Arabidopsis thaliana: one gene and its partners. The protein of the gene in region 3 interacts with the protein of the main gene of each other region in a pairwise test. Each region holds a gene or a part of one and is shown on either strand. Other genes may lie near its edges.

Region 1 (8,297 bases), on a different chromosome or scaffold from region 3:
ATTTATACTTATTTGAAACGTTAAAATGGTAGGGACATAATTTTAAGTATAAATCTATGAAAACAAATGCTCGTATAGAATTGACAGCTAATTTTCCACCCTTTTTTTGCTTTTACTTTGGTTTCCATATGATCAGACAACAAAATAATAATTTGTACTTATAATTTGACAATGAGAACATAGTTATTAATTAATGTAGAATATAGCATAACTGGAAAAGATTAGCCAATTAATGATTGTTTTGGGGAGTAAATGTATGAAAACTCACACATACAAAAAAAAAACTCAGAAATTTCACACAGAAAAAAACATGAAATGTTCGACTAGTTGTTCTAATAACATATTGTAAACTGATGAAATTGTTGAAACTATGAAAACTCAGAAAATACAGATTTAGAAGATTTTTGTTGACTAATTTGTTTGATTTCTTCCTCTAAAATAGTTTTCTTCATTATTTTTGAACAAAAAATAACACAAGTTGATGGCGAATATTACAAATTCGTATGACATAAAGAAAGAAAAAACAGTACTTAGTCAAAGGCATATAACATGCCAAACCCGATCGCAATGAGAAGACAATCCAGATTAATTTATATTGGAGTAAAACTAATTATGCGTAAATGGGCTTATTTTAGGAGTATTTAATACACACCCGACGAATAGTAATGACCACTATAACACCGTGAATATTGGCTTATTGATGATAAAATTTAAACCAAGCCACATTACGTATGTTATGTAACAACTGCACGCTCAAAATCTAGCTAGTTTGGTGTCTAACCTGGGAAAGTGGGTCAAAACACTCGTACGCATAACCAAAGTAACGGTCTCTACAAACTGCATTCGTTTAACCAAGACTAGAAGCTCGACAACTGAAATCCATCAAAGATTTCACTCCAATGAGAAAAACATAAGAAACAAGTTTTTTATATAAAAGCATTATTTTGCACATTATGTTTGGGATTTTTTAATTCCATTTTTAGGATATAGTATTTATAATGACTAAAAATGACAAATGACAAATATTTGAAACAAACTACAAAGAAATTAACGTTTTCCTACGTCCAAAATCGTAGGAAACATGGTTTTTCTCTCATTTTTCTACGAAAATAATTTATAGGAAATTTTCCATAAAAAATCAATACTGATAGGAATTTGGTAATCACCACATGTATATTTACTCACGCAACAAATAAAATTATAATAAATACTATTTACATCTTATTAGAATTTAAAAAAACACGCATCAATAAATGTATTACAATTTTTTCTGAGTGTTGTTGTTTGAAATTTAGTGAGACTATTAAACATGAGGCCAACCCTACAATTGTTTTGATCAACAATAAGATATGTATAAATATGAACATACTAGTTTCAAAAATGCTTTTGAAAAATAACAAGATACCAGTTTTTATGCGCTATGGATGATTTATTTTACATAACTGGTAGTTTGTTTATGTGGACGGTAAACGATTCAAAAAGATAAGCAAATTTGTCCACATATGTTTTTGTTGTTCTACATACAAATTATAATTATCTATATCGTATAAATAAAATAAATACAAGTTACTAAAAAAGACTTTCTCATGAACTTAAACACTCTTTGCAATTAATCAACTAAAATTATCTACTATATTTCTAATTATATTTTAAATAAAATACTTTTAGTCAAATACCCTTTAAAAATAGACATACGTGGTAAACTAAAAGAATATATGAAATAAAGAAATAAAAGTAAATATACATTTAACGGGACCCACTCTTTCCCCATCATGCTTCATTATCATTATCGTTATCATCTTCTTTCTTCCTCTCTCCTCTCTTTCTCAATAATTTAGATTTTTGTGTGATTAAATATTTTAGGTTTCTGCAGAAGGAGACGTTTCCTCGTTTTTGTGCTGTTTGGATCTTCTGACACAATTCACTTTTCCGTATAAGTTTTCAATTTCTCTAATCCCATTATGTATATTTAAAATATTATACTCTTAACCTATTTGAGTGTTTGGAAGAAAAATATAAACTAACGGTAGGACTTTCAAAAATGAAATCTATTCATTTTCTAGAATAAAGTGTTGATGCGTTTTAAGTTTTTATGTGTATGTGGTAATATAAAACTTTGTAAATAAAGTATCTTAGTTAATCTGCTGAGGAAAATAATGAAATGAAATTAAAGAAAAAAACAGTTGAAAAAAGAAAAAATGAAAAGAACTTGGTAACGTAAACATTACTAATTTTATTACTTATAAATCATAATCAGTTCAAAGTTCGTTGCCATCCTCAGTGTACACTCTGAACTTGCTAGATGATAAAAGTCTGCAAGAATAGTAATCCGAAGAATACTTTATGTTCAGGATTGTAGTTATATCAATAAAGAAAGATTTGGATTGAGATGCGTGTGGGATTTCTTTTTATTAAATAAATACAAATATAATGTTTTAAAAGAAAATGATATGATTCTAAATTGGACACGACATACATATCACTATGTCTTGATGTGATAACATTTACTTCATCTATGAAATTATATCGTCTATAAATAACTAAATAAAGGGTGTTTGGTTGTTATGATATGTGGGTTCATTACCTGGTCAATACATGAAAAGGCCAAAGTCATATCATACAAGTTCCTCTGTTTTTCAAGTATACCAATTCTAAATTTATAATAAGATACGTATCACATATATATTACCAAATAATGTATACATATGTCTATGAAGTTGAAATATTTCGAATTTAATATTATCTCTTGTACTGGATGTCAAACTAGAATTTCAACAACAAACAATTATATGCACATTTTCTCACTTAGTTTTATGAATTTTAGCTCCCTATGATATATATGTACTTTGTAACTTATTTATCACCATGCTATATAGTGATAATAACATGAAGTAAAGGTTTTTTGAACATGCAGTATGAAAGAATGCTATGTCTTTTTCTTAATTTATTCATTAATCTTTTTCTATTTAAAAAAACTGTTGAACCAATTGCTCTAGAGTACACTAATTTAAATGATTACATAAAGCTATATCTAAGTGTAGAGTTTAATATCAATTTTGAAAACAAATTCCAACATGGTTGGAATGTCTATTTAGCATATTAAATTAAAAAGATAAGTAATATTAGCTGGTGGTGAACGTAAACACACACACACACACAAATTGTTTTGCGGATACAAGTATATATCAATATATGAATGTAAAATTAAGTTACATTAGTGAATATTTCATGTCCTAAACATTGGTTATTGTCCCATTTAACAAAAAATCCACTTTGGTTATAAGATATACCGACCACAACACTAAAATAAAATAAAATAGAAAGAAAGTGATGAAAAATGGTGGCGTACTAAGGACTGTGGGAAGATTAATGAGTGAAGGAAAAGATGGGTATCTTTTATCTCTCCTTTCTTTATCCTCTCTCTCTTTCAATATATATTAGTCATTTTTATTTTGTTATATATTATTTCTCAGCTTTTTAAATGTATTTTATATTTCCCCTTTGAGCAAGAAAAGAGTTGCAGAGATCTTTGAGTCTGACACAGAGACCAAACTCACATAGCAATCACACACATCTCCACAAACACAGGTATGCATATAAATATATATATATAAGTGTATATTCGTGTGTATGTGTGTGTGTCTGTCTCTCTCTCTTTCTCTTTGATAGAAATTCTCTAATGTAACTTTCCTTTTGCAGCTTGAGATGATCATGAAACACGTGCATCCTCAGATCTCTATCAATCCAGGTTCTTCATCTTTTATAATATTCATTTTTTCTTTCAATTTCTAACTCTATTATTTTATTATTTTATTTTCAATCATGATTATGTCTTAATTTCCATATCCTTCAATCTCTCTTTCTCATAATCCATAATTCATCCCTTCTTCTTCGTCTTCTTGATGTGATCACGATTCTTTTTTTCTTCGCTTCAACTGTATATATATACAGATCTATATTAAACTTATAGTGGTTTTGTTTTTGCTCCTTTTTCATACTTTTGTTTGTTTTTCTATGATATCAATCAGCTTGGTGAAAGAAGGTCAAGAATTGAAAGAGAATCAAAGAAAACGACGTCGTTTCATTCGTGTGTAACAACTACTAATTATACATAGATGGCTGCTTACTTTCACGGAAACCCACCGGAGATCTCTGCCGGATCCGACGGTGGTCTTCAAACGTTGATCCTCATGAATCCAACTACTTACGTTCAGTACACCCAACAAGACAACGACTCGAACAACAACAACAACAGCAACAATAGCAACAACAACAACACAAACACAAACACAAACAACAACAACAGTAGTTTCGTTTTCCTCGATTCCCACGCGCCGCAGCCAAACGCGAGCCAGCAGTTCGTCGGAATACCACTCTCAGGTCACGAAGCTGCTTCCATTACAGCCGCCGACAACATCTCCGTACTTCACGGTTATCCTCCGCGCGTGCAGTACAGTCTCTACGGTAGCCACCAAGTGGATCCCACTCACCAGCAAGCCGCGTGTGAGACGCCACGCGCGCAGCAAGGCCTCTCTTTAACCCTCTCGTCTCAACAGCAGCAGCAACAGCAACATCATCAACAACACCAGCCTATTCACGTCGGATTCGGGTCCGGACATGGAGAAGATATCCGGGTCGGGTCTGGCTCTACAGGATCGGGGGTAACAAACGGTATAGCTAATCTTGTTAGCTCCAAGTACTTGAAGGCAGCACAAGAGCTTCTTGACGAAGTAGTCAACGCTGATTCCGATGACATGAACGCTAAATCCCAACTATTCTCATCGAAAAAGGGTAGTTGCGGAAATGATAAACCTGTCGGAGAATCATCGGCCGGCGCTGGAGGAGAAGGTTCCGGTGGCGGAGCAGAAGCAGCCGGGAAACGTCCGGTGGAGCTAGGCACGGCAGAGAGACAAGAAATACAGATGAAGAAAGCAAAACTTAGTAACATGCTTCATGAGGTAACAACAATACGTATTATATACAATAAGCCTACATATACTGAGTGCTCTCTTATATCACACATGAAGTGGACTTAAAAGTTCTGTCCCTAAGATTTTCAGTCATTTTCACAATTCATTTTATATGTATATTAAGCTATCCTTTTTTTTTTTTGCTCTTCCGATTTCTCAAATTGACAACTTACAAGATTGATGAAATCTTTTTTTTTTTGTCCCTCTCTTAGTAAAGACTAACAACTTTTATAGATTATATTTATGTAGACCGTACACTTATGTTCATAAGACTCACGTTACTTTGTTGGTTGAAAAATGAAAAGGTGGAGCAGAGATATAGACAGTACCACCAGCAGATGCAGATGGTGATCTCTTCGTTCGAGCAAGCGGCAGGGATAGGATCAGCGAAGTCATACACGTCGCTAGCATTGAAAACCATATCAAGACAGTTCCGTTGCTTGAAAGAGGCGATCGCTGGTCAGATAAAAGCGGCCAACAAGAGTCTTGGGGAGGAAGATTCAGTGTCTGGTGTTGGGAGGTTTGAGGGGTCGAGGCTCAAGTTCGTGGACCACCACTTGAGACAGCAAAGAGCTCTTCAACAACTGGGAATGATTCAACATCCTTCCAATAATGCTTGGAGACCTCAACGTGGTCTCCCAGAACGAGCCGTCTCAGTTCTCCGTGCTTGGCTCTTCGAACACTTTCTTCATCCGTAAGTAACCCACTATACACACATGCACTACTTTTCATCACTGGAACACAAACTCAGTCTCTAAGTTGTCTTTCTTTTAATTAGATACCCTAAGGATTCGGACAAGCACATGCTAGCTAAGCAAACAGGACTCACTCGTAGCCAGGTACGTTTCAAAATGATTCTTTCTTGTGTTATTAGGTTACTTAAGAAAGCGTTTTTAAGTAAATTTATTTTCTTTAATTATTTAGGTGTCGAACTGGTTTATAAACGCGAGAGTTCGGTTATGGAAACCAATGGTGGAGGAGATGTACATGGAGGAAATGAAGGAGCAGGCAAAGAACATGGGATCCATGGAAAAGACTCCTTTGGATCAAAGCAACGAAGATTCTGCTTCAAAGTCAACAAGTAACCAAGAAAAGAGCCCAATGGCGGACACTAATTACCATATGAATCCCAATCACAACGGTGACCTAGAAGGCGTCACTGGAATGCAAGGAAGCCCCAAGAGACTAAGAACCAGCGACGAGACAATGATGCAGCCAATAAATGCGGATTTCAGCTCCAACGAGAAGCTCACGATGAAGATTCTAGAAGAACGGCAAGGGATAAGATCAGATGGTGGCTACCCTTTCATGGGTAATTTCGGGCAATACCAAATGGATGAGATGTCAAGATTTGATGTAGTCTCAGACCAGGAGCTCATGGCGCAAAGGTACTCAGGAAACAACAATGGCGTGTCCCTCACGTTAGGTTTACCTCATTGTGATAGCTTGTCGTCCACGCACCATCAGGGTTTCATGCAGACCCACCATGGGATTCCTATAGGGAGAAGAGTGAAAATAGGAGAAACAGAGGAATATGGACCCGCCACCATCAATGGTGGTAGCTCGACCACAACCGCACATTCATCAGCGGCAGCTGCCGCGGCTTACAATGGGATGAACATACAGAACCAGAAGAGATATGTGGCTCAGTTATTGCCCGACTTCGTTGCATAAACCCATCTCTCTAGAAGGAGAAACCGAAACAGGTTATTATATACGTTTCTAGTTTTTAATTAGTATATAGTTTCTCATACCATTGAACCAAAACAAAGAACAAAATTTAATTTTAGTCTTTGGTTATATATGGCCGACGGTTGTATATCGATTTTGTAATTTTTTTTTTTCGTTTCTATTGGGGGATGGATAGGGTTATATATGTATATGGATTAGTTACGTGTAATAGCTTGCATTGGGTGTATACCAAAATATATTTTTACTTTTATTACAATGTAATAATTAATAAGATAGTGAACTGATCTATCAAATATGGAATGATGATTACAGATTAGATCTAAGCTGTATAGATTCCGAATATGACATGTATGCTTAAGCGGCTGGAAACTTATAATATTTTTTGAGGAGTGTTTATGTGTTAAAAGCATATTAAATAAAATTCTACACATTCACAATACAAATATAAAAAAAAACAAAGAAAGCAATCTCTGAAATAAGATCTTACGAACTGTTGAATTGAATTCAGATTTCAAACTTTGTGTATAGTTTTTTTTTTTAAATCAATTAAGATTAACGTTTATAAAACTTGTTATAAATTTTCTTTTCAAGATATATAAAAATGAAAATGTTCAAATCATTTTGTAGAATAGCGTCACCTGCTGAGAGATAAACTTACAATAACAGTAACAATTTTTTTTTTCTGTTATTAAAGACATTGACAGAATATTTATATGAAGACTGCGTGAGAGTGTGAGACTAATTTCGGAGAGGTTTGTAAGAAAAAAGTTTACAAAAACATATGCGAATATTTAATATATATTTTACTCATTTTCGGCCCATAACTTTTTTTGGGCCCAAATACCTTTCTATAGATATTAATAAATAATGAAATTTAGTGAAACACATGAAATATGTTGCGACTATCGGAGCCAAATTCATGAGTCAAAAGTTGAAAAACACAACAAATTTGAATTCATTATTTAAAACTGAGGCCCAGAATCTAATAAAATTTCCGATTTTGTTACCCAAATTACTCATTTTAAGCTTCCCTTCAACATCACTTTGTTTAGGCCCAACGCAACAACCCTTTTTTAAATTATAAAAAATAAAATTCTATTGTCCAAAAAGAAAAACAATAATAAGAAAAAAGTTCTTTACAGAGAGGTTTTTTCATGGGTAAACTATTGATTGAATGTTAAGGTCATGTAAAAACAAAAAGGTTTGGTAGGAATATAATCAACTATTAAGTCCTCGAAATATATGTTCAGAAGTTGTCCACTTCAACAACTTCCACACTGTATTTAACGACTACCTTATTTGAATGTGTAACGTTTAAGCCCTTCTTCTTACTTACAGCAACAGTCTGTACAAGAACAAACCAGCTCTAACCGGACTGGTTTGCTTTTTCATACCTGAACCAGATTAGTTATGGTGCTTATCAGATAGATAAACGGAATACTAGTTAGTATACATCATGTTGCATTCTACAATCATTTTAATTGACTATATTATCGATATGCAGAAACGGCATGAAATGCTTTAATTTGTGACATTTCCTTGAAATATTGAAACACTTATGTAATGAAAATAAAAAGGAAGTTCTTAAACTATTTTAAAATTGCTAGAAGAGCTTTAGATGCATTGTACCTAGCA
Region 2 (8,335 bases), on a different chromosome or scaffold from region 3:
TTTGAGAAGACTAGTGGATAATAGTGAACACGTTTACATGACTTTTGACTTGATAGTTTGCTATTCTTGTTGTATCTGTGTGAATTGTTATAGGTTGCTTGATTTTGATGTTCATGTGTCAAAATTGATAATGTAGCTTTTGTATCTGATTAATTAAGATTCTAATGCAGTTGAGTTTTTGGTCTTAATATTAGGCATTGTATATTATACCAACGTGTGAAGAGGTTCTGTTGTTTTCTGAATTTCTCTTATTTTGTGTTTCATTCAGCAAAAGTGTGTCGTGAGTTGATATTCTTTTAGGCTGAATATAAATGTATGTATAAAATTTGGCTTATATTGTTTGATAAGAACACTAGACCTCTTTCAAGTTGAGCGTTATGTTGATGTATATTACTTGACTCATTTTCAATTCTCTTGACAATATTTGACATTGCATTTACATGTGGTTCCTGTGTTTGTTTAGTGTTCAACCTGAATGTTGAAGTTTAAGACATAAATCATCTATACTTGGTTGTTTCTTGATTTTGAATCCTTAATAAGACATGGAATTTCTCCTCTCATCAGGTAAGTCACTGAAAGATGGGGCGTGTTAGAACCAAGACGGTGAAGAAATCTTCACGTCAAGTCATTGAGAAGTACTACTCTCGCATGACTCTTGACTTTCACACTAACAAGAAGATCCTTGAAGAGGTTGCCATCATCCCATCAAAGAGACTCCGCAACAAGATTGCTGGATTCTCCACCCACTTGATGAAACGTATCCAGAAGGGACCAGTCCGTGGAATCTCACTCAAGCTTCAAGAAGAAGAGCGTGAACGCCGTATGGACTTTGTTCCCGATGAGTCTGCTATCAAGACTGATGAGATCAAGGTCGACAAAGAGACTCTTGAGATGCTTGCTTCTCTAGGAATGTCTGACACATCCGGCATCTCTGCAGTCGAGCCACAACAAGCTATGGCACCAATCGCTGCTTTCGGCGGCAGGGCACCCAGAAGATACTAAGATGGCCTCAGCTAATCATCAGCTACGATTGGCTCTCTTTTTTCTCAGTTAGGGACAAGAAAGACTTGTGTGGTTGTTTATTGTTTCTTCTGATTATGTCTTAAACTCAATGTGAGACTCTTTCGTATTAATGGTTTTTAAGTTATGTGGAACCAAAATTGGAGTTCAAACATTTGATAGTACCAATACTTTTTGCTTATCAGATCCGAGTTGATTCATGGGAGAGTTGTTGTATCAGCGAAGATTGTGGAGTTTTATGAAGGACTGTTAGTGAAACATTCCACAGGTCGAAACCATTTTAAAACTTTGAACAAGGTAGAGTTGTTCCACAATGAAAATGTGTATATTGCCTGCTGCTTCTATTAACTCTTTAGGTCTAGAGGAAGATATTTTTGTGTTCAGTCTTTGGATTTGGTTAATATCATGAAGATGTTCTTTTGGTTACAAGGTCTTCATGAACTAAAACAACACAACTACCATACTTAAGTAAGCCAAATCCAACATTCTTAACATGAGCCTAATACTAAACTATTTAATCCTCTTTTAACACTTACAAATACTTAATGAAGTAGTCTAGTACCAAAGATTCTGTATAATCTAGTATTCCACGGGTCAGCTTTGTTAGTATAGTAGGAGAGGATGCAGCACTCGATCCATGGTGGATTTCTTGGAGCCACAAAGTTCGAGCTTTCCCGTATACCGAGCAACCAATTCCGCTTCTTCCTCAGCGTCTCTGTGTCCTGAAACCCTAAACCCCAAAAGTACTCCTGCCAATAAAATCTAGATTAGGCTATCAGAGACGATCTTTGTTGACAGTTTAGATGCAAATAGACCAAATGGTGTATTTACTGCGTCTTTATTGCATAAGAAAGCCTCTAAAGTCGCTGTTGAATCCTCCAGTGTCAACAAAACTTGGTGGTGACGGCGATTCTCATCTGAACAGAAATCCTCTACTTGCCAAGGATATGCAGCTACAACCCGAACAATACATCTGTACTTGCATGTAACCTGTAATAACAACGTAGGCGATCACATAAAAGTATTCTTAATCTTTTCAGGGAATACAGCAAATAGATTCATGAATGGTACCTTGGGGAATGTTATGATGTCCATCAGTGTAACAAATGGGGCACAATTGTCATCTGTCTCTGCAAGACACCAAGAATGTTAAGGAAGTCTGTCTAAAGATTGACACAGAGAAAAACATTCGTTGAGATTAGATCCTGCTCATTAAGTAAAAGAGAAGTATTGCAACCTGTTAATCCAGGAGGTGACGGAAAACACCAGAATGAAATGTGTCCCAACTTTGATGATAGTCTCTTATCATATATCCTAGTTTTTGGCACATTAGATTATAAAACAAAATGGTAAGAGATTCTCATGGTATGCAAAAAGGTCGGAAGTAGTTACTGAAAGAAATATCAAGAAGTACAAACCTCATGATCTTTTCAACTAAACGATCATCTTGAGCGAGATGATGAACCTTTGTAGAGCTGGTAACTTTGATTACCCAAGATCCTCTATCAACTTCACAGAGTAAATGGTAAAGTTTCACCCAATCACCAGGTTTAACCCGATAAAATAGATGACTGCTTAGATGAACTCTCAAGATCGTTCCAACGGTTGGAAAGCTGAGCAGTACATCTCTTGACAGTAAAGTATGAACAGAGAGACTGCTAAATGCCTTGTCTTCTTCACTTCTCCTGTCGATAGCCAAACATTGTACACCAAATAGAAGAAGAGTAAGCGTAGGATATGGAAAGCGTAGAGTCAAGCCTAAATGAATGACTCAAAACAGATAATGTGAGGATTTAAAACTTTTTTCCTTCGCAGTTAATACTCACTTAGCCAGAATAGATGCTGGGGGTGCATCAGTCCCGTCCCAAACAAAAACAGCGCTAGTATCTTCATCGGCATGGAGAATCTCCATCACAAGAAACAGCAGGAAACAAGGTAGGATCAGTCAACAAAACATAAAAGGAGCCAAAAAAAGATTTGAAGTAACAATGAAGTGGTATAGAGGAATGAAGAGTTAAAAAGCTTTCTCACAGTTAATAGAGAGTATAGAGCATATTACCCTGCACACCAAATCAAAGCGTTTTCCTATCTTGATCTCTCTCAAGAAGGAAAAAACTTCGGAGCAAGGTTTTGTTCTGTAAGATATACTCTGCATAGCTAAGTACCAAAACAGTAAATGAAAGCTTATGAGAATCGTTCCAAGCTATCCAAAGCCATTATACTATATGCATAGTTGAAAGCAAAAGAAGCTCACAGTGTTACCTTTAATAACTTGGCTACAACCCGCAAAAACTTTGCGTAAATCATCCATGGCACTCTTGTATAATGCTTCTTCTTCATGAAAATTGGTACTACATTGGTAACAAACAAAATCCACACCTTCGAACAAGGCAAAGGAAGAAACCCATCTACTACAAGCAGCATTTACTCTTTCTCCACTATCAAAAGTTTGCATCTACACAATAAAAATCCAAACTTTATAACCTCCTGCACAAAACACAGAAGGAAAATGAAGAGGTCTTTGTACCTTAATGCGAGTAAACAGAATCATGTCGTCGTGGTTCTTGATTTGAGGAAGTTGTTCAAGAGTCTTACTAAATACATTAACAGTAAGTCCAGGACTTGGATACGTATCATCAATTATCCGTAGCGTACAAATCCAATCTAAGAAAAAAATCCAACTTTCAGATTTTGTTGGGTCAAATGTTAGGGCTTTCACAAAACAAACCAACTAAGATTCAGATTCAAGCAAAATTCTATGTATTTAACTCAAATTTTGGTTTTTTTTGGATAAGTACCATTGTTGCGACATTGTTTTGGTTCTCTTTGTTCAAGGACGATACCAATGAGACTGACTTGTTGGTTGATGAGTTTAATGGCGTCTTTGATTTTGATGAGCTTGGGACTCTCTCTCTTCTTCGCCATCTCCCGCTTTGCTACAACGTTTTTAAGTATTATCCTGACGTCACAAAATTAGAGAGTGGTAATATGTGGAATGAGTATCAACAGAACACTAAGCACCAACCTGCAGCCCATAGCCAATAAGTGGAGTGAGTATACATTGGAGGCAATAAGTGGAATGAGTATACATTGGAGCCAATAAGTGGAATGAGTATACATTGGAGGCAATAGAATAGCCATCAACGGAATGACAATGCAAGGATATCAAAAGAACACTAAGCACTAACCTGCAGCCCACTGGAAGTATTCAATGCAGAATCAGACTGAAGGCAAAAAAACTTTATCTTTCTCTCACTTGAATCATCCCCTGGATATAGCAAATTTCATCACAATGGTGAGAAGTAACCAAAGCTAACAAATGTTCCAGAATATGATCCTTCCCTTACATCAACCATCTCTCACAAGAAAATTCTTCAATCCACAATTTTTACTACTTTTATCTACCAAATCCTCAAATCCATTACAATGAACATAATCCCATGAATACAAATGATATATTTTGTTGTGATTAGATTTTAAAGGAATAAACTAACCTCAAGGTCGTATCTGTGCACATTGTTTCCGGCGACGACGATTGCCACCGGAATGAGACCTTATCAATGATCAATTCCGTTAGGTATCGAAATTAGAACCCCTTCATCAACGAACAACACTAGATCTCTCCAGTGAAACGGCCGACGCTTCTCGATCCTCTAACGACGCTCTCAATTCCACATTCTTCTCGCCGTTCTCCGTGAAGTTGCTTCTGTGAAGATTCACTAAAGTCCCAATCAATGTAATCGGAGAAATCTCCGACCAAATCGCTATCGCCAAAGAGACTGTTTTTTTTTTCTTGTTTCTTTTTTTTGCCAAAAAGTTATGTTATATATATCAACCCAGTGCATCATCCAATAATGGTGAACCTTGGAGAGGCCAGTACAAACAGGATACAGAGATAGAATTTTTACATATCAAAGACGTCTAAGTAAAGATAACAACATTTACGTTACAGTTAAGGTACAATATTGAACTACCACGAGCATCTCCAAGAGATACTCTATCCCTCAAATATAAAGTTTTAGGTTCTCTAAAAGATAATCCAATATAATTTAGAGCATATCCAAAAGATATTTTATATATAGAGTATGTAAACTTCAAATATAAAGTATGAGTAGTTTCTTCTCCAAGAGTATACTTTAAATATGAAGTTTCTAAAATATGTGTTTTGCATTATAGTCTTTATATTGTTCATAATTATTTTAAAACTATATAACTTTAATAATAACACTAAAACATACATTAAAATATTACACATAATCTTAATTAACAAAACAATACATTTATAAATAAAATACATATAAATAAAAATTAAAAATACATAAATTAACTTATAAATTACAAATTACTCAATAAAATTATTTTCGTAATGCTCTCATATGTGATCAATCAATGCATTACGAAGAGATAGATAAGTCTCTTTATTTTTAATCTGTAGATTACGAGTCAAAGTGTTGAAATATTTTGAATATATAAAAATTAAAGGACTAAAATGATAAGGGAATGTGACACGTTTAGACACTTTTAAAGAATTTTATTCCTTTTGAGGCACTTTTCAGGGATTAGGCACTTTGCCATCTTTTTGAGGAGAAATTGGACTAATTTACCCCTGAAGTAATGATGACACAATAATTATTAAACTTATTTTTGATGAGATCGTGTGGGTAAGAAACTATCCCCCTTTTATCATCTCTCTCTTCCATATTCTTTTGTTTTTCATCATTTTCAATCTCTCTTTCAAAATCATTGTCGTTCTCTATAATTTTTACAAAATCATGAAAATTATGAGGTTATCCTAAATTCACAATCAAAATCTATGTTTACCCTAATTTTTTTTTTTTTTTTTTACTTTTGTATATTTTTCTCCATTCGCTGGAAAACTTATGGCCACCACCATCGTTTCTTATCGAAGGATTATTAACATTAGAAATCCAATTCGCCGAAGATTAAGACAGAAAATATTGGTCTCAACTCAGATCACTAAGGATGTTTGAATTGGGGAAGAAGAAAAACTGAATCATTGTTTGGGAGAGGTAAGAGCATCTTTAACCAAATTTTATCCTCTCTCGTATTGGATTTTTACTTGGCTTTATCTGTTTCTTAAGATTGAATGTTAAATTGATAAATAGTAAGATAGGATTCAATCCCAAGTTAGGATCGATTTGACAAATTACTTGAAGAATTTTAAATTAAGTAGTTGACTCAATCCCAAGTTAGGATCCAGTGATATGAATGTTGTGAATTGACATTGAAATTTGATTTGTTAAAATGCATCTAGTTTTCCAGTTAAAATTCTAATACCCTTCTCTGGGAACACCTTGAATTCCTTGTTTAATTTTTGCTCTATTTCCAGCCTATAGATACGTAGTTGGTCTTCAAAAACTTTGGCTAACAATAACTTTGTGTTAATCTCTTTCTATCTCAAAAATGCTAGGGAAGATGTGATATTTGGTTTTATTGGAGCTATCGTTTCCCAACAGATACATCTTCCGGATCTAGAAATGATGTGTTTAGATCACACACCTATCCACACCTCTATATCCATATGACTTTTTACATTAGCTGCAATCACCAATTTGTTTTGACAATTTGTTCACATGTATATGGATACTCTTATCATTGCATAGCACTTGGCCACTCTCTTGAATTTGATGACGTTAAACTGATCATATGATTGTTGGCTTTTTAGATTTTAGATTTTGCTTGTTTATGGAATGTTTGTATCTTAGTTCTAACAATGTGGATGACGATAATGGAATGTTTATATGGATGGCACATTATGGATGACGCATCGTGGATTGTGCAGATTGTTATGATGAGAGTTGTGAATCTTTTGGTCTTACATGTTAAGAATTGGAAAAGCTATATGTGGTGCTTTTGGTACGATTGTTGTCCACAAAGTTTCATCCATCTGATTCTTAAAGAACATTTAGTCATTCTAAATCATTTAGATATTCTTTTTAAAGATATAATTGTTCACTGACGAGTGTCCAAACAATCAAGTCCAAATGGTCACCTAGTAACTCACAGTTTGTTTTATATCAATGCACAAATTTATACATGAACAATAATCGTTGATAAAAAATTTGTTGAACTTTTGGGTTCTTCCTCTATTTAACTTTTAGAGGTTCACTTCTCTTACATCTCTTAGTTCTCTTTAATGCTTTGTTTCACTCACTCATTTTAACTCAAGCACAAAAAGAACCTTCACTCTCATTCTCTCAGTCTTTGGTTAGTTTCTTGTTTTGACACGAAGACATAAAACGATTAGTAAGAGAGAGAAAAGTGAAAACATTAGTTGTCAACATTTTTGTATTGGATTCAAAGATAGATTCTTATTATAAGACATACACACACATATTCATACTAGTTTACTTCTACTAAGTACACACTTGCATTATGCTTCTACTTAGACCTAGACCTTACTTTAAGACATCATTACTCTAGTCTCTAAGGTATACCCAAGCTTACAAGCAAGGTTTACCAACAACTCCTACACAACAACAACTCTAACAACTCTTCACTAAGCTAAACTTTAACTAACATAACACACTTACTCATTTAGGCCTAACAAAACAATTAGCCCAATCACTTATTATTTCATCTTCTCCCATGCATATTCTTCTTTTGCTTGAGCTTCTTCTTCTTATTCATGTTCTCATTGAAGCATTTTATCTTACATATTTAATCAAGAACTCAATCTCAACAGAAATACACCGTCCATTTTTCTTTGACCAATATTCACTTGTGTATAGAGTATGGACATTATCATAATTATATAATGGATCCATATCCAGCGATGACACATTAATGGTAAACAAATGCAACATTGTCCATTGATGTGTGTCCAAGATGTGCAATCCATATGGTTGTTTATACCAACACATAAGTTATACATATATAGAACAAGATGATGAATAAGTCATAACGCTCTCTCAGTCGCCACCAACAACTCGATCGCCTCCACCAACCAACAGACACTTCATCACCATATAAAAGACAACCGTCGCAAGAAACCATAACAAATCCGTTGGAGAAACAACTAAGAAGAGACATCGAATAAAGTAATGACTTTTAGATCTAGACCCAAATCTCCTGTCGCGAATCACTGGCTGTTTCTTCTGTCGTTAAATGTACTCGCTTTCGTCATTTACACACCTGCCGTTTTTGTACTCCACCAGTGCCAAAACTTGACTAATGAAGCGAGTACATTCAATTAGCCGAAACTGAATCTCAGATTCCAATGAAACCATAGGAATTCGAGAAGATCAAAATAGGAGAACGAATTGGTGAATTGACTTGTGATGAGAAGATAAAG
Region 3 (6,727 bases):
TCTCGCACGCTTCAATTCTCACTAGAACGTATTTAGTCTGTTTTCTTCAACTTCTAACAAATTCACCGGAAAAAATTCCTCCGCCGTGATTCGCCGATGACACCGTCGGCCGGAGCCATCCTGCTTCTAGGTTAAATTCATCTAATCTCCAAAAAGTCAAAGCCACTTTAAGCTTAATTTCCTTGTTTTCTGCTCATTTTTTGTAATTAGAAAACTCTACTAATCTTCTGTAACAAAGCTTAATAAGAGACCTGTTTTTCTCGGTACGCATTGAACCGGATCTTGCGTGGCCGGTTAGATGTGGATTTTTAGAAATCGGTCAACTTTAATTTTGTCTTGAGGAATAATTAAAGCTCCTTTTAGATTTTGGGGGTAGTACAGCTTAACAGCTAGTTGGTCAAACGCGTCCGCGTTTTATTGAACGTTTTGATGCTCGAGACGGTAGCGTTTTGTGGGTTGAAAGTTGAAACGAGTAAAATGATCTTGTCGGAGAGATTGGTATCACGTGATCTTTAAAAGAGTGATGACGATAGATGACAATGCCCATGACACGGAATAATCATGATGTGGCATCAAATCCTCACTATAAAAATTCTTTCCCAATTATATATTTGAGATTTTTTAATTTTATGCTCTATTTGGTTTCTTCGATATATTTTTCTTACTTGTTTGAAATTTCTGTTGTGGGAAAAGAAACTTTTTACCGGTATGTTAAAATAAGATCTTGGGTATTGATTATAAAAGTAAAACAGTTGTCGTTATCTTCAGCCATTTAATAGTTGACTAATCAAATGCGTTTTTGTTTTGCAGGTTTTTCCCACAAACGAAATCACCAGTTGTTTCTCCAAGAGATTGAAGAAGAGGAAGGTAAATATAAAGTCTCCTTTTTGAATTTCAAGTACACACTCCAAAATTCAAATTTTATTGAGCTGATGGTTTTTTATTCTTTTAATATTTGGCAGTCATCTTTTGAGCTTAAAAATGAAGAGAACTTGAAGTTGAAGGAGAGACTTGACCTTGAAAAGGTAGATTTTCGTTGCTATTCTCTGTTTTATTATCATGGTTTTCATTGTATTCTTAAAAAAACCCAATATTTTTCCACAGGAGATTGCAAGTCTCCGAGCAACATTCGATGAACAAAACCTTAGGAACCAAAAGCTGAAGAGGATTAAGGTAACATTTAGATTCTCCCTAACCATCTTTACAGTAATCAGATATTCCAGATCCCTTCTCTCTATTTGCTGGTCTCATCGACTCTTGTGTTTTCTTGTTTCAGCTTGACTTAAACTCAGGCCGTGTCACAAACAAGAAACCTGTTGATTTGATTCGTAAATCACAACTCGAGCGGCTACAGGGATCAAAATCTTGCAAAACCAGTGACTCGCAAAATCAGGGGAGTTTCTTCGTCCTCCCTGATCTCAACATGGCGCCATCCGAGGAAGAGATATTGTACGGAACTAGCTAAAAACTGGCCTATATGAAGATTTGCGATCGAATTATAGTGAAGGGAAGAAGGGAGCTAGAGATGTCAACTAAGAAAAGTGAATGTAATAAGTGGTGTAATGAAACTCTCCCGTCACATTCTGGTTTTCCGTTTCCTTCTTTTTTTGGGGTAAAATGCTCAATTACTTCTTGATTTTTTCTTAGGAAGAGGGTGAAAATTAGGTTTTTACTTTTTACTCCCTCCCTCCCTCCCTCTCTGTTTTCTTTAATTTGATGTGTTAGAAGAAAAAATTTGTTTTAAATAGATGGTGTTATCAATTTTTAATGCAAAATTAACTACTTTTTTTTTTCTTTCTTTCTCTTTGTACCGATTTAAAAGCTTTTGTTGGAAATTGTAAAGAGGAAAAAGTAGGACAACTAATAGACTTTTTATGTTCCAAACATTTTCTTCTTCACTATTCTCCATACATTATTATATTAAAACCCTAGTTTCCGCTCAACTAATCCAAGACAAGAAGATCTATCAATCTCTTTGGACATTCATTTTTCTACTATTTAATTTGAATTTTTATAATATAAACTTGGGAGGTGTAATGCTATTGGTGGGTTGTCGGCGTGTTCATGGAAAAAGATTCGTTTTTAAATGCCCAATAAATTTGAGAAAAAATTGCCAACTTGTTTATGAGCTTATTTTCTTTTTCATGGATCCCAAGTCTTTTGTGTATAGAGATTAAAAAAAAATGACATTCCTTCATGTAAAAAAGAAAAAAATATCTGGGTTTTAAAAATATCTACAATGAGTTTAATGGTAAATATACTTATCATAATTTGGAGAATAAAGACCTAAAGAAGAAAATTACACTCTAGAACAGAAGTTTTGTAAGCAAATCATTGCTCACAAAACTTGTGAATTACAGAATTACAGGCTCTTGTAGGTTGAGTTATTTTATGCTTCATTTTGGTTACAGGCTTTATGTTGACATTAAAACAAAGAGATTGAAGTAGAGTCCAAAAAAAAAAAAAATATATATAAATATAAAATTCAAGATTAATTAAAAAATATTGGTCTTCAGAGAGATAAATAACTAGGGGAAAGAGAAAACAGTCTTCTCTTCTCCGATCCCAAAAACGCAGGAAAACAATGTCGTTTAACAGCTCCCACCTCCTTCCTCCACAAGAAGACCTTCCTCTCCGACACTTCACCGATCAATCACAGCAACCTCCGCCGCAGCGTCACTTCTCTGAAACACCTTCGCTTGTCACCGCCAGTTTCCTCAACCTCCCTACCACCCTTACCACTGCGGATTCCGATCTCGCTCCTCCGCACCGCAACGGAGACAATTCCGTTGCTGATACAAACCCACGCTGGCTCTCCTTTCATTCGGAGATGCAAAATACTGGAGAAGTACGTTCTGAAGTTATCGACGGAGTCAACGCCGATGGTGAAACGATACTCGGCGTTGTAGGAGGTGAAGATTGGCGGAGTGCTAGCTATAAGGCGGCGATTTTAAGACATCCGATGTACGAGCAGCTTCTTGCGGCTCACGTGGCTTGCCTTAGGGTTGCGACTCCCGTTGACCAGATTCCGAGGATCGATGCTCAGCTCAGTCAGTTGCATACCGTCGCCGCGAAATACTCCACTCTTGGTGTGGTTGTTGACAACAAGGAACTTGATCATTTCATGGTAAGTTTCACTTTCTAATTTTGCAAAATTTTAATGTTTTGAACTGTGAACGATTCAGCCATTTATTTCTCTTTGATTATCTGAGTATAGCAAATTCACATTTTTGTGTGGCTCATTGTTCCCGCTTCTCGAGTCTTGCAATCGATATGATCTTTGCTTCTACTTTTTTGGTTAGCTTGTAATTCGAATTATGAACTTTGTCTGACTCAAATAAGTTATATTTGTTGCATAAAGCTTCTTCTTTGATGACTAATAGTTTGTCTGATTCTTGCTGAAAAGGACTTTGCATGTCCAAGAGAAAGAAAGCATAATCTATTTTTTGTAACGTTCTGTTTGTATGTCTTATGGATTGGAATCTTACCTTTGATTATTATGTTGATGCAGTCACATTATGTTGTCTTGTTATGTTCATTTAAAGAACAACTCCAACACCACGTTTGTGTCCATGCAATGGAAGCCATTACGGCTTGTTGGGAGATTGAACAATCACTGCAATCCCTAACTGGTAACGTCCCAAATCATTTTTTTTTTTTGTTATTGTCTTCTTGCTTTATGTGTGTCTTGGTTTTATCGGTTTTTCTTTGTTCTGGTTTGTAGGAGTTTCTCCAAGTGAAAGTAATGGTAAGACAATGTCGGATGATGAAGATGATAATCAAGTAGAGAGCGAGGTGAACATGTTTGATGGAAGTTTGGACGGTTCAGATTGCTTGATGGGGTTTGGTCCTCTTGTTCCAACCGAGAGAGAGAGATCTTTGATGGAACGTGTGAAGAAAGAACTGAAGCATGAGCTTAAACAGGTAATTGCTTGATCAAGCTGCAATGGTACATCAAACTATACAAAACACATTGTTAAATCATGTTGCTCGGTTTCTTTTTTCCCCTGTAGGGTTTCAAAGAGAAGATTGTGGACATAAGAGAAGAGATAATGAGGAAGAGAAGGGCGGGAAAGTTGCCAGGAGATACGACTTCTGTACTCAAAGAATGGTGGCGAACTCACTCGAAATGGCCATACCCAACTGTAAACACCTTGGCCGAGAAGTTTTGTTACCACATTGTCAAAAGCAAGGTTTTAATTCGTGATTTGGTTTTGGAATTGCAGGAGGAAGATAAGGCAAAACTGGTTCAAGAAACCGGTTTGCAGTTGAAACAGATCAACAATTGGTTCATCAACCAGAGGAAAAGAAACTGGAACAGCAACTCTTCCACGTCATCTACTCTCACCAAGAACAAACGTAAACGGTAAAACAAGATCCGTTCTCTTTTTCAAATTGCGCAATTTCATTAAACCAACCCGGTCAAGATCTTCTTTTGTAACCAAACTCAGGACCGGGAAGTCGTAGGTGACATAGCGGCTAACTAGAGGATGGTTCTTTGCCATGTGAATTCTTGGGAACCGTATATGAAAGAAACGAATCCGGTTCTATGCTCGTACAGAGTGTGTTATTTGTATAGTGGATACCGGTTAGCCTATGAAACCGGATTCTGGAGTCCAAATTGTTGTTTGTAACGACTTAGTAGTTTTTGGAAGTGATCTGTTTCGTTGGTTTGCGTCTTGTAACGAACGCTTAAGCAAGTGTGGGTTTTTTCTTGTAAAGTGTCAATATGTTCGTTTGTAATGAATGTATCAAGCAATATTTATCATAATTAAACTAGCTTGAAATGTAGTATTACGATGTTGTTGTGTTCGTCTGATTTCTCTCACCGGTTGATGCATGGTTACGTTCGGCTCGGTTTTTATATGGTTCAATTTTTAATATATCGATAATTTTAAATGATTTCACTTGTATTATTAACAAAGCCCATTGGTATTTGGCCCAAAATCTGAATGCCGACTTAATGACTTGTTTCTTCTTCCTTCAGCTTCTCCAACGAACGGCTTTTGTTTTAGTTTTTTTTGCTTACCTTTCTCTCGACTTGGTCTACTTTTGTTACTCTTTGAGTTGGGTGATTATGGCAGCAGCACCACAGGAGGAACGATCTCCGTCGCTTGACGATTGCCTTAAGCTATTGAAAGGGGAGAGAGACGAGCAGAGGCTCGCCGGTCTACTTCTCGTCACCAAATTCTGTAAGAACGATGACATCGTTTCTCTCAACAAGGTCTACGAAGCCGTTGGTACTCACTTTCTCGACCGTCTTTTCCGTACTGGTAATCAAAACCCCGAATTATTGATCTTTGTCTCAGTAAATACTAATATCAATTTTGGGGTTTCTACAAAGTGTGAATTTTTTAGTTGAGATACTAAAGTTTGTTGCTCTGACTGGTTTCGATTTTTTGTTTTGCAGGTAGTGGCAGTGGCGATGGGGTTGATAATCGTGATGTGTATCTGCAGATATCTATCACTGTTCTTGCTGCATTCTGCCGTGTTCCGGAGATAGCTTCTTCAGAAGAGATGGTCTCCAGAATTCCCCTTATTCTCGAAGTAATGTCCAAAGGGTATGTTAGATCACCTGATTCTTGCATTTGCGACTTTCCATGAAGTTTTTTTTTTAATCAAGCTTTGCTTCTGTGTCTTCAACTTTTTGCATATTGTGATTGCCTAAAGTTAGGAAATTGGCTTTTGGAATTTCAGAATAACTACAAACATGCTCGAAGATTGCTATGAGCTTCTGTATTTGGTGTCCACGGCTTGTGAAGCTGGTCTCATGACTTTGATTAACTCTGGAGGCTTGAGAGTGATAGCTCCCCAGATGTCTGAGTTACCTGATGGTAATACATACTCTTTCATTGGGTTTACATTCTTTTGTTGTGTATATGATGCACATTAGATTCCATTGAATGCTATTTCGGATTGATTATATTTGGTGTCAAAGAAAACGTGCCATGTTGAGGTAGATGGATTTGATAATAGTTTTTCACTGGGAGCTAATGTGAGACATGTTATTCAGGTTCACATGCCATGGAGGTTGCTATAAAGATTCTGCAGTTATTGGTTAGTAAGCTTGATTGTGGGAGCATGACTATTGAACGCTTCTTAGAACTGTCTTTGGTGGTGAGTCTACTTACTTGGTTACTTTTTGTTTTCTTTTCGCAATACTTACTAAAGCTGCAATGCTGAAGTTGGACTCCAAACATAATGTTAACTTTTATTCAGATTGCTGCTGTTGCACGGCAGTTTGCGGTGTTGCATAATGCCCTGAAGTTTGAAGCACTCCATTTACTGTCTGCAGTCTTCTCGTCAGAGTATTCTGTGAGTTTTCACTTCTTAACTTCCTCCGGAAAAGTATCTATAGTTACTAGCATGATTTATGTAGATTTAATGCAGCTAAATTTTCAAAATTTCTGTCCATTGAAATTGGAAAAATTAAAGTTTTATTTTCCTTTACTTGGAGAAATACAGTTGCCTTCATCGTCTTGATGTTATTTAATATGCATGTTATGTTTCCATTGTAGAAGCTCTACATCTTTGTTTTGTGTGCTTATCTTTTTATATGTCTCTCATAGAAGTTCGTTATGCTTAGGAACTTCTTCATGAACCTCTTCGTTCCATGCCCGACAACAATTGGGCAGACTATATGCGCACAGGTGTTGTGGCAATTCTGCAGAACCGTGTGGGTAAGTTAGTAGTTTGTTTGGAACACTGGAAATGGCATACCCATTAA

The links. Proteins that work in one complex are often made in the same cells at the same time.
Region 1: the proteins of KNAT5 (region 3) and BLH1 interact in a two-hybrid assay, tested with the Arabidopsis thaliana proteins (2 studies listed by BioGRID).
Region 2: the proteins of KNAT5 (region 3) and AtPOT1a interact in a two-hybrid assay, tested with the Arabidopsis thaliana proteins (one study listed by BioGRID).

The regions. Positions count from the first base shown.
Region 1 is NC_003071.7:15,087,518-15,095,814, reverse strand, and holds BLH1 (BEL1-like homeodomain 1), read left to right. Parts: upstream 1-3,399; 5' UTR 3,400-3,588; intron 3,589-3,636; exon of another isoform or gene 3,637-3,699; 5' UTR 3,700-3,748; exon of another isoform or gene 3,749-4,028; 5' UTR 4,029-4,115; coding exon 4,116-4,958; exon of another isoform or gene 4,959-5,275; coding exon 5,276-5,664; intron 5,665-5,748; coding exon 5,749-5,809; intron 5,810-5,894; coding exon 5,895-6,644; 3' UTR 6,645-7,053; downstream 7,054-8,297.
Region 2 is NC_003071.7:1,887,424-1,895,758, reverse strand, and holds AtPOT1a (Nucleic acid-binding, OB-fold-like protein), read right to left. Parts: upstream 5,076-8,335; 5' UTR 4,515-5,075; intron 4,289-4,514; 5' UTR 4,209-4,288; intron 4,046-4,208; 5' UTR 3,946-4,045; coding exon 3,819-3,945; intron 3,685-3,818; coding exon 3,548-3,684; intron 3,476-3,547; coding exon 3,283-3,475; intron 3,178-3,282; coding exon 3,080-3,177; intron 2,927-3,079; coding exon 2,847-2,926; intron 2,706-2,846; coding exon 2,439-2,705; intron 2,335-2,438; coding exon 2,258-2,334; intron 2,151-2,257; coding exon 2,092-2,150; intron 2,011-2,091; coding exon 1,852-2,010; intron 1,770-1,851; coding exon 1,563-1,769; 3' UTR 1,245-1,562; downstream 1-1,244. Other genes in the region: AT2G05220 (Ribosomal S17 family protein), read left to right, coding at 580-1,002. UniProt on the Arabidopsis thaliana protein: Component of the telomerase ribonucleoprotein (RNP) complex that is essential for the positive regulation of telomere length. Binds RNA non-specifically. Binds specifically single-stranded telomeric DNA.
Region 3 is NC_003075.7:15,491,543-15,498,269, forward strand, and holds KNAT5 (homeobox protein knotted-1-like 5), read left to right. Parts: upstream 1-2,446; 5' UTR 2,447-2,584; coding exon 2,585-3,127; intron 3,128-3,511; coding exon 3,512-3,632; intron 3,633-3,724; coding exon 3,725-3,924; intron 3,925-4,013; coding exon 4,014-4,145; intron 4,146-4,226; coding exon 4,227-4,366; coding exon of another isoform or gene 4,367-4,370; exon of another isoform or gene 4,371-4,451; coding exon 4,452-4,467; 3' UTR 4,468-4,839; downstream 4,840-6,727. Other genes in the region: AT4G32030 (uncharacterized protein), read left to right, coding at 811-867, 963-1,025, 1,105-1,173, 1,277-1,465; AT4G32050 (neurochondrin family protein), read left to right, coding at 5,078-5,273, 5,411-5,561, 5,698-5,834, 6,014-6,117, 6,220-6,315, 6,587-6,680.